Linked DNA regions of Callithrix jacchus. The protein of the gene in region 3 binds, or shares a complex with, the protein of the main gene of each other region. Links are inferred from orthologs where the notes say so. Each region holds a gene or a part of one and is shown on either strand. Other genes may lie near its edges.

Region 1 (3,352 bases), on a different chromosome or scaffold from region 3:
GGGTGCCCGCCCTGCCGGCTGCGGGCGTATCTGCCTTGCGGTCCTCGGCCCCCAGTCATGGCGCTGTGTCGGGGCGGTTGCGCCCCCTTCCGCAGAGTCCCCACGGCCTCCCAGCCCGGAGCAGCGGGAGCCCCAAGTTTGCCATGAAGACCCGGCAGGCCTTCTATCTGCACACGACGAAGCTGACGCGGATTGCCCGGCGGCTGTGCCGTGAGATCCTGCGCCCATGGCATGCCGCGAGGCACCCCTACCTGCCCATCAACAGCGCGGCCATCAAGGCCGAGTGTGAGTCACCCTGACACCCGCTTACGCTGTTCCGACAGGTGGTGGGGAGGAGCAGCAACCTTGGGGCCCAGCCCACAGCCCCGAGGGGAGTCCTGGACGAGGGAGCCCCATTTCCTTCTGGTGCTGGCATGGCCGAGCCCCGTGAGGGCTCCCTGGTCAAGGCGCAGGCAGGGTCCCGTGCTCCCTGGGGCACCACACCCCTCACGCTGTGTGGTCCCTGCAGGCACAGCGCGGCTACCCGAAGCCTCCCAGAGCCCACTGGTGCTGAAGCAGGCGGCGCGCAAGCCGCTGGAAGCTGTGCTCCGGTATCTCGGTGAGCAGGCCGGGTGCGAGGAGGGCTCCCGGTGCTGCCTGCGGGCAGCTTCTGACCCAAGCTCACGCACGGGTGCTCCCAGCCTTCTCTAGGCGGCATCTCCTGGACAGCCCCCCAGGGCCTGGAACCGTCCTTTTGGGGTACTCTGCACTGTGCCAGCCTCAGGCAGACCCACTGGGACCCAGGCTGCTCTCTGCTCCTGGGGCCTGATGGGGTTCAGGCGGAGTGGCTGCCGCCCCATCTTCTGCAGGGCCAGCCTCCTCAGGGCACACCCAGGGGGCTTCCCTGCCAGCCTTCCTACCCTGGTTCCTGTGTCCTGATCGTCCCTGGGGCCTGAAGGTCTGGGTTTGGATGGGGTACACCCATGCCTGTAATGCCGGGAGTACACCCCGAGCAACGCCCACACCACAGGGGCAGCGCTTGAGCCTCTGCAGGGCCTGGGCAGGGGGAGGGGCACACCTGGCCTGCAGCCTCGGGCGGGGGTTCCCTTGCCTTTGAGGTTCTGAGGACACCCGAGAATCTTAGCCAGCTACCCTGGCCCAGCCAGAAGCAGCCTGAGGGGCCGGGCCAGACGTCAGTGGTGGTGGGGGGCGGCTCACCAGCGTGCTGGGCTGGAGTGGGCTTGTGCGGCCGCCCTCCCGACACAGGGGTGACTGTCCTGGGCAGGACATTCCAGAGCCCTGAGCTAAGTGTGCTCTGCACACTCAAGTGGCTTTGGCATTGCCCTGTTTAGGGTCATGGGCTCCTGTCCTGTGGGAAGAGGTGGCCGGTGTCAGGGCTGGCCCTCAGCAGCTGTGTCCCTGGCTAGGCTGGCCGGGTGGTCGGTTCGCAGTCTGAGCAGCAGCCAGCCTGCTTAACAGGCGTGCTGTGCTCACGGCCGGTGTCTGGACCCTGTTGGCTGGGGCAGAGGGGCCTGGGCGCTGCCAGGCAGTCTCGCTGCTCCCTGGAAGCCCTGGGTGCAGGATTGGCCTGGGCATGCCCCCTCGGAGGGCACTTAGAGCTCCTGGGCCCCTGGTTCTGTGACGACCCCTCCACATCCACCCCAGTCAGGATGGGGCCGAGTTCCTGGTGGTGTCCCGGAACCACGAGGGCTGGAGGCTGCCCACCCGCCCCCTGCTGGGCAGAGGTGACCTGCTCTGCCTGTGTCATTCCCGGCAGAGACCCACCCCCGTCCCCCCAAGCCTGACCCCGTGAAGAGCGTGTCCAGCGTGCTCAGCAGCCTGACACCTGCCAAGGCGACCCCCGTCATCAACAACGGCTCCCCCACCATCCTGGGCAAACGCAGCTACGAGCAGCACAACGGGGTGGATGGTGAGTGGCTCCCTCGCCCGGTGAGTCCGGGCCTGCCCTGCCCGGTGAGTGTGGCCCTCGTCACCCACCCGGGGCGACCGCGGTGCGTGCTGATGCTATCTTCTCTCCCTCTCTCCTGCCCCGGCGCTGCCAGGCAACATGAAGAAGCGCCTCTTGATGCCCAGTAGGGGTAAGGCCTGGGGCCACGGGCGGGCGCTGCGCCCGTGATGCCTGTACTGTGCTGCTGAGTGTGTCCCCTCGGCGGGCGGCCCGGGGCCCATGCTTGGGGCAGTCCATGGGAGCCAGGCCACGGCCCAGTCCCCCCACTCCTCCCAACGCCACTGGTCCTTTGTTGAGACCCCCCCCGCCCCCGAGCCCAGGCATCTGGCCCTCAGTCCCCTGGCCCCACGCCCTGTCAGTGGACTGTCCTGGCATGTGTGGCCCTGTCGCCCTGCTTGCGCTGTCTGCCATCGCGCTGTGACCGCCCGCATGCTGCCAGCCTCAGCTTGTGGGCCGCCCATGCTGTGCCTGCAATCCTTTCGTGCGCCTGCCTGTGGGGGAACAGTGGGGACAGTGAGGGTGTCTGGCAGGCTGTGGGCAACTGAGCTTGCACCCAGGCTTGGTGCCTTCTATCGGGTGATGGATTCGGTGCTCTGTGCCAGTTGGTTGGATTAGGGGCTGTGGGACCCCAGGCCCCTCAGGGAAGAGCAGATAGGACCAAGCCCAGCATGGGGAGGCCAGGTGTGTGGGACGCAGGTGCACCGAGGCCTGGGCCGGGTGTGCGGGTACTGGGCCTGCCAGTGTGGACATGCCTGCAACCCCTCCCCAGGCAGCTTTCACTCAGAGTGTTGGCCAGGGCAGCGGGGCCAGTTTGGGGACCTGGAGGCGGCTGTGGGCAGTGGCCATCTAGGACAGCCAGCCTGTCCCCCCGGAGCTGTCAGGTGCCCTGGCAGGCATGTCCTATGGGGTCAGCCCATGAGCTGAGGTGCTGGGTGGGCCTGAGGTCAGGTGTTGGGCTCCCTGGTCTCCACCTGTCTGGACACGCACATCTGGCCTGTCCCCGCTGCCTCCATCTACCAGCCTTCAGTGGTGTCTGTCCCGGCCCCAGCCATCTGGTATTGGGGCTGCCCCCGTGGGCTAGTCCTGGCCACACCGGCCCAGGCCAATACACTCTGGGCTGGCTTTCCTTGGCTGTTCCTGGGACGCCTGCTGTCGGGAACATTGGTAGAAGCAGGAGGGAGTCCTTGTCAGCAGGCATCTTTGAGTTTCGTTGTTTTATAAAAAGCGGATAACCAGCAAGTTAGATCAAAGCCGATGTGTTCCCATTGAACTTCCAGCCCCAGCCGTGCCATGCTCGTGACGGAGTGCCAGTGCACGCCGCCTGGCTGGGCGGGGCCCTGGGCTTAGAGGGCTCAGCCACAGAGGGAGTGCCTGTCCTGACATGTGGGGCCAGGACCCCGGCGC
Region 2 (3,729 bases), on a different chromosome or scaffold from region 3:
TGGCATCCCCTGCATGGCCTGGCGGGACACATGACTTCTAACACGTGGGTCCTGCAAAATCGGAAAGCAACAAACACTCAAAGAAATGAACTTTCCCAAACACATTATCATTTGCATCACACTCAGAGAAAAGCGCAACTTTTAAATCTTGTTTGAAGCATCTGTAATGTCACTTGGTGCACTACCTCTAAAAGAGAGAATTAAAGTGTGCACTTTTGGGAAAGAGGTGGGGAGCAGAGAAGGGAACTGTGGGGAATACTGTACTGCTGTACAGGAATCCAATATCACATTCACAATAAATAGTAAAAAACTTCCAAGAGGGTTAAACTATAGTTTTTTAATTTTTTATTTTAATTAAGAAGTCCTGAGAGCCCATCAGCACTGGAAAAGGGTAGTCGCCCACTGGTAAACACAGGTGCTTGGCATCTTCAATCCATGAGGGTTTTACCAAAATCACATTGAAACTGTTGTTCACCTCAAGATTAAAGCCATACTTCTTGTCCCTCCAAAACAGTCACAGGAAGAAAAATGCTCAATTTGCATTTATGACTTTATGTAGAAAGACTAGTCTTCAACAGTATGTAAAGGTTACAAACTGTTTTCAAAAGCAATTAAACATTTAATTTGTAAGCTCTCTACTTACGCTAACACACTCATTGTTCTTTTGTCTGAGACCAATATTCTGAATACCTGACAAAATTTAATTTCTCCCTGCTTCTCTCCACACCCACTCTGAATATTGTAGTGCTGTGTCTGGCTATAAAGGTAGCTTTCTTCATTTTCTAATTATCTTATACTGTACTTCTGTTTCCAAGGAATATTCAAGCCATTTAAAAACATGGCATTTTTCAACACTCAAAAGACTACTGTACCTCTGTAGTTGGGCTGGGAGATAACTTGTCTTCTTCTGACTGGGTGGGCATTTTCAGGCCTCCATATTTTTTCCAATAAAGCCAACAAATTGCACATAATCTACACTGCATATTAGGTGGGCCCCAAGAATACCACTGGTGAGACTGGGTAGCTAAAGCAGAAGAAAAACAAAAATTTTTTAAAATGCTGTTTAATTTGTAACATCAACACAAAATAATCGAATATTTTAAAAATACTTGTCATCCTTAGTTTACAATGTTATTTTTCCCAGCTTACAAGTTCAAACGTAGTAGTATATTTGTGTGTTTTTTAATACTCAGAATTTATTAAACCAACTTATTTCTATTATATATAAAGTGGTTATAGCCCTAATAAGAGAAGCTATTAGGTGAGGCAACCTATATTATGCATTGTGCTGCTGAGGAATTTTTTGTTTTGTTGATTAAAAATGCTCTACTGTGTATGTTTCTGGAAATAGGTTCTCAAAAAAAGATATTAGTTGTATTAAAAAAAACAAAAAAAACAAATCCAGGTTTCCAAACCTAGGGTTCAGATACCACTCCAGGGATTATTTAAGCTACTCAGGGAGGTCCCATTGATAAAGTCAGGACTCTAATAAAAACAGGTATCTGTCAGCCAGGTGTGGTGGTGGTAGTAGCTATAGGCCCAGCTACTAGGGAGGCTGAGACAGTAGGATTGCTTGAGCCTGGGAGGTTGAGGCGGCAGTGAGCTGTGACTGCACCACTGCATTCCAGCCTGGGTGACAGAGGAGAAGGGGAGGAGGAGAGAGTCAGGGAGCAGGAGAAAGAGGGAGAGGCAGAGAAAAGATGAAAGAAACAGGTCTCTGTTTTGCACTCCTTTACTTCATAGGCAAAATCCTTATTTTAAATCTCCCTTTATAGACAGAATCCCTTTCAAGACTCTAAATCCTTATCAAGTGAGCATGGGCAGCTGACATCACAGCATGCTTGAGGCCTAAAACTCAGATGATTTAACAGCTGGCTGAATGCTACAAGCTTGTGTTTGTTTTTGTTTTATAGTTTAAATTACTGACATGTAACATTTAAAGTACACCCACAATAGATCTGAAGTTTAAGAGAAAACACTGAGGTTGAAAGGGTAAGTTAATTAGGTACATAAAAAATTGTAATTCTGTAGGTTTGCCTTAAAATATTACTTCTCTGACCTGTAAGTTACCTTTATCAGACTGTTCAAGTGTTCAAACAGCACAGCAAGATGTCCACTAACACTTCATAAACAAATGTGAAAGAAAATACAGAGACTGTTATATTCATGTTTATTGGGAACAGCACTGTATACCCATCATGTATTATTTTTGGAGAATTATTATTTTAGGCTTTTATTTGTGTAAAGCCTAAAAGCATTTCCTCCTATAATTTAGAACTCATAGAATTAGTCAAGTTGTTTTTTTTAAATATAAATTTTTTAAATCTTAAACATTAAGCTATTAATCTATTTTGAATTCTAAATGTAAAATTTCACTTAAAACATACATTTTGTTATGCACGCTAATCATGCACATCATCTTAACAATTAGTGAATAAATGCTTTTCTCCTTAAACTCAATTGGAAAGTAGGTATCATTTAATAGCTTATTTATCATGCATACATAAAAATAACAGAATAATCATTTAAGGGGATATATGTGAGTGCGAAAGGAATTTCCAATTTTTTTTTTTTTTTTTTTTTTTTTTTTTTTTTTTTTTTGAGATGAATTTTCACTTTGTCACCCAGGCTGGAGTACAATGGTGTGATCTCGGCTCTCTGCAGCCTCTGCCTCCTGGGTTCAAGCAATTCTCCTGCCTCAGCCTCCCAAGTAGCTGGGAATACAGGCACGTGTCACCATGCCCAGCTAATTTTTTGTATTTTTAGTAGAGACAGGGTTTCACCATGTTGGCCAGGCTGGTCTCGAACTCCTGACTTCAGGTGATCCACCCACCTTGGGCCTCCCAAAGTGCTGGGATTACAGGCTTGGGCCACCATACCCAGCCTGCAAGTTAAATTAAGACAGATTAAGCCACTACCATTTGTCTGCAGGATTCTTTTTATTTTCCTATAAATATACATGAACTTCAAAATCCAAGAATTTCCAATTCAAGGTATTTATGATGCTATCCATGTAAAGGCCTGACCTAAAGAAATCTAATTTTCCATAAATGGTTTCTCTTTGTGCTCCCATGCTGCAAAAAATGGACATCCCCATGTACCATTCCTATGAATTCAGCAATTTGGCACACACCTTCCTTGGGATCAGTGTAATCATACTCACAGCTGTCCCTCATTCCTAGTCCTTCCTGGAGGTAGTAGGCTACATGTACTCTCAAAGAGCTGCTAAGAACCCAAAACAGGGCACCACATAGGTTTTCAATAAACATTAGTTTCCTTCCCTCTCCCAACCCAGGCTACCTTGACTGGAAGGAAACATAGATGATAATATCATCAATACCCCATTAAGAGACTGTATCCTTGCTTGAGATTTAAAATAACACATGAAGTCTATCAACTACCTAACAATTCACTTCACCAACCCCATTTAACAGCCTGGGCAAATACTGCCAGCATAGATAAATACAGTGGGATCCTGCGGCAAAGGCAAGTATCACAGAATAGCATTTTCCAAACTGGTGCCCCGAGGGAACATGGTCTAAGGGTTATACATAGCAGCTTATCCACACAGAGGCCTTTCCTACAGAATCAGTTGGAGCTTTAATTTTTCAAAGTATACTGAGAAACTCCAAAGGTGGATTTGGTATGCATTGTGGGACCACAGTTTCTGCGAAGCTAATACAACTCTGAACACAATTCAGCAAACACTGCTATGAAATACTCAAAAAC
Region 3 (3,729 bases):
ACTCCAGCCTGGCAACAGAGTGAGACTCCACCTAAAAAAAAAAAAATCATCACCTCTGTGCATTCTTACCCAAAATCTCTAATAAAATCAAGAGAAAACATCACACAAATCCAAACTTAGAGACATTCTACAAAATAACTGACCAATGCTCATCAAAAGTATCTCTATCAACCAGGCACAGTGGCTCATGCCTGTAATCCCAGCACTTTGGGAGGCCAAGGCAGGCAGATCACCTGAGGTAAGACCAGCCTGGCCAACATGGAGAAACCCCATCTCTACTAAAAATACAAAAATAGCCAGGTGTGGTGGCACATGCCTGTAATCCCAGCTATTCAGGAGGCTAAGACAGAAGAATCGCCTGAACCCAGGGGGCACAGGTTGCAATGAGCCAAGATCATGCCACTGCACTCAAGTCTGAGCAACAGAGCAAGACTCCATCTTAAAAAAAAGAAAAATCACCTGTATCATACAAGAAAAGGGTGAAAAAAGTGAAGAAATGTCACAGATAGCAGGAAACATGGTAACTAAATGGAACATGGGATCTGGGATTGGATCCTGAAACAGAAAATGGACAGCAGGAAAAATGCGTGACCCTCATTTAAGGTCATTTATAGTACAATACCAATGTTAATTTCCTAGTTTTGATCATTGTACTGCAGTTATATAAGCTATTATTAAGAGAAGCTAGTTGAACAGTACACATGAACTCTGTGTCATTTTGTAACTTTTTTCTAAGTCTAAAATTAAAATGAAAAGTTTTAAAACAAGTAGTAGCAGCAATACTGGGCACAGTGGCTTATGCCTATAATCTCAATACTTTGGGAAGCCAAGGCAAGAGGATTGCTAAAGACCAGAAGTTTGTGATCAGCCTGGGCAACATGGCAAGACCCCACCTCTACAAACATATTTTTTAAATTAGCTATGAGCAATGGCTGATGCCTATAGCCCCAGCTAGTCGAAAGACTGAAGCAGCAGGATCACTTGAGCCTAGGGTGATGTCCAGACTGTAATGAGCCATGATCATGCCACTGCTCTCCAGCTTCAGCAACAAGAGTGAGACCCTATCTTGAATAAATAAAACAAAACAAACAAACCTAGTAGTGTCTACCAAGGCAGCCAAGTCTGCCAATAACTTGCTATTTGAGCTTGAGCAAGTCCTGACCCCTTGCTCGCCCTCAAAATGCAATGCTTTCTCCTTTCTAACAGAAAGAACAAAGACCCCAAAGGAAAAAAATTCTCCTAGGAATAGTGTAACACATTCTTCCAATTGAGACATTCAAAAGCTTTACTCTTCCATCTCAACTGACAAAGCCCCAAAAGAACTACACTGAAAAGGAGATGCACAAGAAGTTACAATACCAAAATGTAAGCAAATAAGGATGACTGAAACGAAACAACTCCTTCTCTCTCACCATTGAAGCGGTCAATGGCCTCCTGCCGCATGTTCCCAGTGATTCCACCATCAATGCGTTCATATTTATAACCTTCGTGTTCCAAGAAATCCTCTAGCAGGTCTAGCATCTTGGTCATCTGTAAAAGGAGCACGGTTTAACTATGGAAAAGTCAGATGTTAATTCCTTTCCTTATATCACTGAGGGTTGTCTATGACTGTTCCCTAAATCTCCCAGCCCACATGGTACCTGGGAAAAGATGAGTACACGATGTCCACCCTCCTTAAGGTTCTTGAGCATTTTCTGCAGCAGCAATAATTTCCCAGATGCTCTGATTAGGGCACTACCATCATACATGCCATTAGGCATCTTTGGGGCTTCCTGAGGACAAAAGCAAAGAAGAAAAAATATCAAAAGAAAGCCCACATGAAGAGTCCCAACCCAGGGAGGAAGAAGAGGTGGCACACCTACCATCGCAGCCACAGGGAAGAGGTACGGATGGTTGCAGCACTTCTTAAGATCCATCACCACATTTAGCAGAGACACCTGGTTGCCACCACCTCGGGCATTGAGTGCTTCAAAATTCCGAGTGAGGATGTACTTGTAGTATTTCCTACGTGGGCAAGGTAGAAACGCGGGTTAGACTCGAGAGCCTTTCAATAATGGAGTCCCAGTAACTGAGATCTTTCTTCGAACACATCCCACTTTGGGACTAAGGACACCTAACACACAAGCACCACCACCACCATTTTAAATAAGGAAGGTATAACTTAAAATAAGTAAGAATTATGTGCTCCAGCGCCCTAGCATCAGGTTTCTTCAGGCCTTGCTTGCTCCTGTCACCAGATGCCTTGAAGATGAGTAGGGGAGGAATAGGAAACACTGCAGACTGGCAGATGTCTAAATGGAGTCTGCTTCTGTCCCTCCCAACTCACTTCTGCATAGGGCTTAGCTCCACACGCACAATTAGTTCCGTCTTGGATGGCATATTCTTGAACACATCAGCTTTGAGCCGCCGTAACATGTGCGGCCCCAGCATGTCATGCAGTTTTTTTATCTGGTCTTCCTTGGCAATGTCAGCAAACTCCTCCAAAAAACCTTCCAAATTGCTTCAGAAAGAAAAAGGAAAAAGTTACTGGAAAAGGAGAAAGGAAGAAAGGAAAGTGATACAGGAAATGGATAACAGGAAGAATGAGAAGCATAATTATGAGCTGATTACAGATAAGCACACACTTACTGGAACCTCTCAGGGGTGAGAAAGTTGAGCAGATGAAACAACTCTTCCAGATTGTTTTGTAATGGAGTCCCAGTCAGCAACAGCTTATGCTGGAGTGAGTAACCATTCAAGACCCGGAAGAACTGGTGAGGCAGATGGAGAGAGGTGAAATCCAATGAAAAGAGGACTCTGGTAAATCTCTGCAAAATTTCAAGTTGTTTCACTGCCCAATAGTTAAGCCTCCCACTCCTCACACTCTTTTTACAGGCCTGGCCACCAAGGGCTGTCACATATAAGGAAGGAAGGCAGAGACAATTTTTCCCTCTCCTCTCCTCCTACAAGTTTTCCCCTTAATGAATTAGATCTAGAAAAAACTCAAACTGGGTGCTCCAATGTCCCTCCCTAAGCCCTCACCTTAGACTGATTGTTCTTCAGCCGATGGGCTTCATCCACGATGAGGCAGGCCCAATCAATAGAGCCCAAGATAGCCATGTCAATGGTGATTAATTCATAGGATGTCAGCAGCACATGGAATTTCACAGATGCCTCTTTCTGCACATGAACGCAACTTGGTCACTACTAGTCAGCTCCTCTGGTGTAAGCACAACCAGGGGACCAATGGAACTTTTTCCTCCTCCCAGGGTTACCCTTTTGTCTCAGAGACCAGATTACAAAGAGGTAAACTGAGCCAGAAGCCACAACTCTTTCTCTAGAGTGGCTTTCCTCCCTTGAGATACCTTCATGCGGGAGGCCTTCTTGCCACCACGAATGGCATTGTCTTCAAAAGAGAACTCATTCTCTCGGATGATGGCACGGCTGTCCTTGTCACCCACATAGGTTACGACATACATGTCTGGAGCCCACATTTCAAACTCCCGCTCCCAGTTGATGATGGTAGAAAGAGGGGCACTCACTAGGAAGGGGCCTTTGGAATGACCCTTGGAGGAAAAAGAGAAGGAGAGTGAGGACTGAGGGCCCCAGCACACTGCAATCCCAGTGAACACCCACCACCCTGCTGCCCCCTCAAGCTAAGCCAAGGACTGGAGCCTGCACTGCTGCTCCTGCTCTCACCTTCCTCTATGCACATGCCCTGCCCACTCCTTTCTAAAAAGCCAAGGTCCC
Region 4 (4,437 bases), on a different chromosome or scaffold from region 3:
AACAAGAGCAAAACTCCATCTCAAAAAAAAAAGAAATACATCCCTACCCAGCTGCCAGTGCTCAGACACCACTCAAAGTCCACAACAGGCCAGCAACAACATCACACTTGTCTCTTTCTTGCTAAACCAGCGTGAGATCCAGGAACCCAGTAAAATGAAAAAGTATCACACAAGACTATTTACAGTTATTTTCAATTTCAGGAGATTCTGCTCTAAAACATCACATGTGGCCCTAACTATCCCTCATTTTCTAATAATAGTTCCTGGGGTTTTCAAGGACAAGACCTCTCAAGCTAGTGGCAACACCTTCCTCCCCAAGGAGCTGCAGCTTGCCCTGAAACCTTGTGGAAGGGGTTAACCTGGCTAGGCGCCAACCAACGTGGGAGGGGACAGAAGAGCCTCAGGCCCAGGCTCATTGGTGCATTGTTCCCAACCTCAGGGAGAAGGGGGGTTGTGCGGTAGGCTCCACCCCTGGCCTATGTGCTCCGGAAACCCTGTGCTAAGGCAAGGGGGACCACACCCCCAACACTCATTCTGATTGGACAAGGCCAAGGTCAGCCCCTGCCAGATGGGGCTGGAAACCCTAAAGGGCCAAGGAACTTGGTAAGCCGGGATCCTTCTTAACCCCTTCTCACCCAGAACAGTCTGAAAAAGGAAAATTTAGAAAGGTGGAACAAAAGGAAGGAGAAAGAAAATCAAAGCAGGAAAGGAAAAAGAAGCTGAGGAAAACATGTTTCTTTGTGTTGTTTTTTTTTTTTAAAAAAAAAGATGAGAACTTAAAGAGAATGAAGACAGGGCAAAATGAAAAGGGAAAGATGTAAAATGGAGTGGGGGCCGGGAAATGGGTGAGGTAAGAAATGAAAAGTACAAGAAAACTTTCCTACCATCTTCCAGCTTCCAGGTATTCCCACCACCTTGTGATTACAAAATGAGCCTACTTCCCTGTTATGCGGGCCTCTCAGAACAATCTCTTCCTCTTCACCTTGACCTTCAGTCACCACCTACTGTTCTAATGTACACCAAACTGTCCCCCTTTAGAAAAGCATTCTGCTTCTCTGAAGTTCATCCTCATCCCCTAAATAAACATTATCATCTCTCTCTTACACTCATACACAAACCATATTATAGCTTTCCTTATCACAATCTCTCCACCCTGCTTCCAACCCCAACGTGTAAAAACAGGCCTCCCTCCTCAGACCAGGTATTTCCCACCCCTAAATTCACACCTCTGCCTTGGGCATGCTACCAGGAGAAACTCCTGCAGGGACATGCCCAGGCCTCAGATCATGGGGAGGGGGAAAAGAAAGAGATGAAGGTACTCACTGGCATTACTATCAGCCAGGCTGTTGAGACTACTAGAAATGTCCCTGCGCCGGAAAAGACAGACAACCTTTGCCTCCACATTTCCATTTGCAGTCTAAGGAGAGAAAAAAAAAATGTAGCAGTGAAAAATTGATCATCTGGGTACAGAAATGCACAGAGACAAATAACAGTAAGTTTCAGAGGAACCTAAATAAAAAATCCCAAGAAAATAGGAGTAAAGACTTACATTCAAGGACAGACTTCCAAATCCCTTTCCTTTGCCCCCAAGAGACAGAATAGTAAGTTCCTGCTAAGCTCTCAATAGCCTTTCCTGAATACATCCAATGAATGAATGAATGAATATGAATAGATACTTAGTATAGAGTCCTCTCTTCCACCAGAAGTTAGAAACCTCAGAAGAAAGAGACCACTGGGGGAGGGAGGGAGAGGGATTCTGCTCCACTCACCTTGTTGAGCTCCTCAATCCGTCTAACCAGGTAAGGATTGCTAGAGGAGTTCTCAAAATAGACGTAATCTGTAAGGGAGGGGAGGGGGAAGAACCACGAAGATCAGAGGACGAGACGGGAGACACAGAGCACGAGAGTAGGAGAGAAAGTTGGCCTGAGTGGACCAAAAGAAGATAAAGATCCAGGTAGAGAGGGCGCTGAGATGTGAAAGTGGAAAGACTAAGAGAAAATAAGGATGTTCCCCATCCCCACCACGCCTAGTTCTAAAATCGGATCCTTCACAGAAAAGTGAGCCTTAAGGAACAGGCAAGAAGCAGGGGTTCCCCTGCGTCCCCACAACTCAGCTATGAGTTGCAGCCCAGTCGCGGCGAAGTCATTGTTCACGCTGGCGCTGGGCCCCCACCTTTTCGAACCGAGGCGCACAATAACGCCTGGGAAGAGGAAATCTCCGGGCGGCTCCCCCGCGGTGGCAAAGCCGTCGCCCCAGCCCCTCGCGTCGCCTCCCTACCAGGTCAGCTCCTTCTGAACCAGTTTCCAAAGCCCACTCTGTACCCGGGGGAGCCCCCGACGCAGCCCTGAGAGTGCCGTCGGGGCTGCCCGCAGCTTCTCTCCGGGAGTCTCGGCACCCTGCCGCGTCGCGGTCGCCGTTCCCGCACCCTCACTTCCCCGCTCCCAGTCTCCCGGTTCCGGTTCCGGTCCGCGCTCGGGTCCACGCTGCCCCAGACGCGGCGCCCCGCGCCACCAGGTGCGGAGTCCCTCCGGTCCCGACCCCAACATCTCCCGCCCCGGGCCCCGCACCCCTGCGCCCGGTACTCACCCCCCACCCGGTACATGTTGGCCGCCATGGCCGTTCCCGCCGCCGCCTCCGGCCGCACAAAGGGGTCCGGAAGGCTCGCGGAGGCAGGGCTCGGCTCGAGGCAAAGCCCCGAGCGTGGGGCTGTAGCTTCAAGGGAGTCTCAGTGGGGCCCGCGCAGCCGGCACCTCCACTGCCTCAGCCGTCGCGGTTCATCCCGGCCCGCGCTGTCGCCGCGGCAGATATCGCCCCACTCCCGGGACGCTGAGGCCGGCCCCGGTCCGCTCGGCTTCTTCCGGAACGAGCTCGGCTCCTGCCAGGCCAGAGCTAAGCTCCAGCTACCCCCGCCCCCGCCGAGTCCCACTAGTCGTTGGGATCTGCCGGCCGCAGGGAAGGCTTGCCCGGCCCGCCTCGGGGTTCGCCTCCTTCCGGAACACCTTCGGCCGATCCGGAGAACAAGGCCCACCGTTCGGCTTAGGTCGTAGAGCGAGACCCCGCAGATCGGCTACTTCCGGAAGAGGTTCGGCTCCTGTCGGCCAACAGCGGCCCGGCACTCGGCTATTTCCGTCGCAGCTCGGACCCACCCCATTTTTCCGAGGGCGGGAGAGAAGTCGGACTTAACTGTGTACTCGCTGGGTCCCTGCAGCTTCTCCTGCCGCCCCGAAAGACTCGCGCGCCTTCGCGCTTAACCAGGTTATTTGCAAGCGGCTTTGCCTGTTATTTGCATAAATGGTCTACGCTCCCTTACCCTTTCCGCACGCCTCTTTTCCTTCGTCCCCACCCCACAAGGCCCCGGAGGCCCCCAGCAGCGCCCCACAAAAGCACCGGGAGGCGACTTTGGTTCTCGTTTATTGCCCCTCAGCAGGCAGCGGGAGTCAAGGCCTAGGCTGGGGCTGCCCAGCTCAGCCAGCGGGTCTAAACAGTGTGTGCAGGGGCGCCGTTCGCGCCCTCCAGGGAAATGCGCGATCGGGAATGTCTGGAAGTCAGTCGAGGAGTCAGCCCCGGGTCTAAAGGAACTAGGGCGGGGCGGGGCGGGTCCACGCCTTCAGCCAGTTGGTCCGCCAGGCCGAGATCAAACGTCAAGGGAGGAGGCGGGGGACAGGGAGGGGGTTCGAGAGGGCGTGGCGGGCGCTGGCCCCGCGCCCCCTGCTCCCAGCATTCGCCACTGGAAGATGCTGGCATCCTTGCCGCCCAGCGAGACGAGGTGCGAGTCGTCGTACGTGAACCGGACGCTGGTCACGTGGCTGCCGTGGCCACCGTACATGCGGCTCGGCGCCTGGACAGGAGGGAAGGGAGTTGCGGTGGCGGCGGAGCCCTCGGGCCCACCCGTCCTGTCCCGCCCCACCCCGCCCCGGAGGCCCCTGCGGCCTCACCTTGGCACGAGCACACGGGTACTGGAAAAGATGCACTTTGCAGAAGTCGTCAGCCACCGCCACCACGCGCTCATTGTGGGAGCGGCACAGGGAGTTGATGTCGGTCCCATCGGAGCCGTCCGGCCACACGCCTAGCACAGCGGCCGGCCTCAGCCCGACCTCCTCCCCACTGCCACCCACGGCCCAGAGCTGCACTATTTCAGGCGCTCCGGCAGCCACGGCCACCCACTGCCGCGTTCCAGGCAAGCCTTCCCGGTCCCGAGGGCCGGGGGGGGGGGGCCTCCTGGGCTGGATCTTCAGGTTTCTGGACTCCCACCCAACGACACACGCCCAGCGTTTCGAGCCCAAACTGGGCTCCACCTTGTCCCCCGCCCCTCCAGCAGGGTTCCACGCCCCTGCTCACCGTAGACGTGAAAGCCCAGCACACAGGTGTACGTAGCCCACTCCCGGTCTCGGCTCTCATAGCGATTCTTCAGCTGCTTGCAGCCTCCAGCCACATCCC

Evidence for each region.
Region 1: CHD4 (region 3) and MTA1 share a complex: the UniProt entries of both Homo sapiens proteins name them as parts of the nucleosome remodeling and deacetylase (NuRD) repressor complex. The link is inferred for Callithrix jacchus from reciprocal best matches to the Homo sapiens genes CHD4 and MTA1.
Region 2: CHD4 (region 3) and MTA3 share a complex: the UniProt entries of both Homo sapiens proteins name them as parts of the nucleosome remodeling and deacetylase (NuRD) repressor complex. The link is inferred for Callithrix jacchus from reciprocal best matches to the Homo sapiens genes CHD4 and MTA3.
Region 4: CHD4 (region 3) and MTA2 share a complex: the UniProt entries of both Homo sapiens proteins name them as parts of the nucleosome remodeling and deacetylase (NuRD) repressor complex. The link is inferred for Callithrix jacchus from reciprocal best matches to the Homo sapiens genes CHD4 and MTA2.

Annotation. Positions count from the first base shown.
Region 1 is NC_133509.1:140,327,830-140,331,181, forward strand, and holds part of MTA1 (metastasis-associated protein MTA1), read left to right. Parts: intron 1-95; coding exon 96-285; intron 286-508; coding exon 509-598; intron 599-1,756; coding exon 1,757-1,909; intron 1,910-2,042; coding exon 2,043-2,078; intron 2,079-3,352. UniProt on the Homo sapiens protein: Transcriptional coregulator which can act as both a transcriptional corepressor and coactivator. Acts as a component of the histone deacetylase NuRD complex which participates in the remodeling of chromatin.
Region 2 is NC_133515.1:72,129,469-72,133,197, forward strand, and holds part of MTA3 (metastasis-associated protein MTA3), read right to left. Parts: intron 2,123-3,729; coding exon of another isoform or gene 2,085-2,122; exon of another isoform or gene 2,001-2,084; intron 1,025-2,000; coding exon 873-1,024; intron 52-872; coding exon 1-51. UniProt on the Homo sapiens protein: Acts as a component of the histone deacetylase NuRD complex which participates in the remodeling of chromatin.
Region 3 is NC_133510.1:20,780,484-20,784,212, forward strand, and holds part of CHD4 (chromodomain-helicase-DNA-binding protein 4), read right to left. Parts: intron 3,546-3,729; coding exon 3,345-3,545; intron 3,160-3,344; coding exon 3,022-3,159; intron 2,751-3,021; coding exon 2,629-2,750; intron 2,501-2,628; coding exon 2,327-2,500; intron 2,005-2,326; coding exon 1,863-2,004; intron 1,773-1,862; coding exon 1,641-1,772; intron 1,531-1,640; coding exon 1,413-1,530; intron 1-1,412. UniProt on the Homo sapiens protein: ATP-dependent chromatin-remodeling factor that binds and distorts nucleosomal DNA. Acts as a component of the histone deacetylase NuRD complex which participates in the remodeling of chromatin.
Region 4 is NC_133511.1:119,870,854-119,875,290, forward strand, and holds the start of MTA2 (metastasis-associated protein MTA2), read right to left. Parts: upstream 2,993-4,437; 5' UTR 2,615-2,992; coding exon 2,587-2,614; intron 1,838-2,586; coding exon 1,770-1,837; intron 1,418-1,769; coding exon 1,324-1,417; intron 1-1,323. Other genes in the region: EML3 (echinoderm microtubule-associated protein-like 3), read right to left, coding at 3,635-3,838, 3,936-4,066, 4,339-4,437. UniProt on the Homo sapiens protein: May function as a transcriptional coregulator. Acts as a component of the histone deacetylase NuRD complex which participates in the remodeling of chromatin.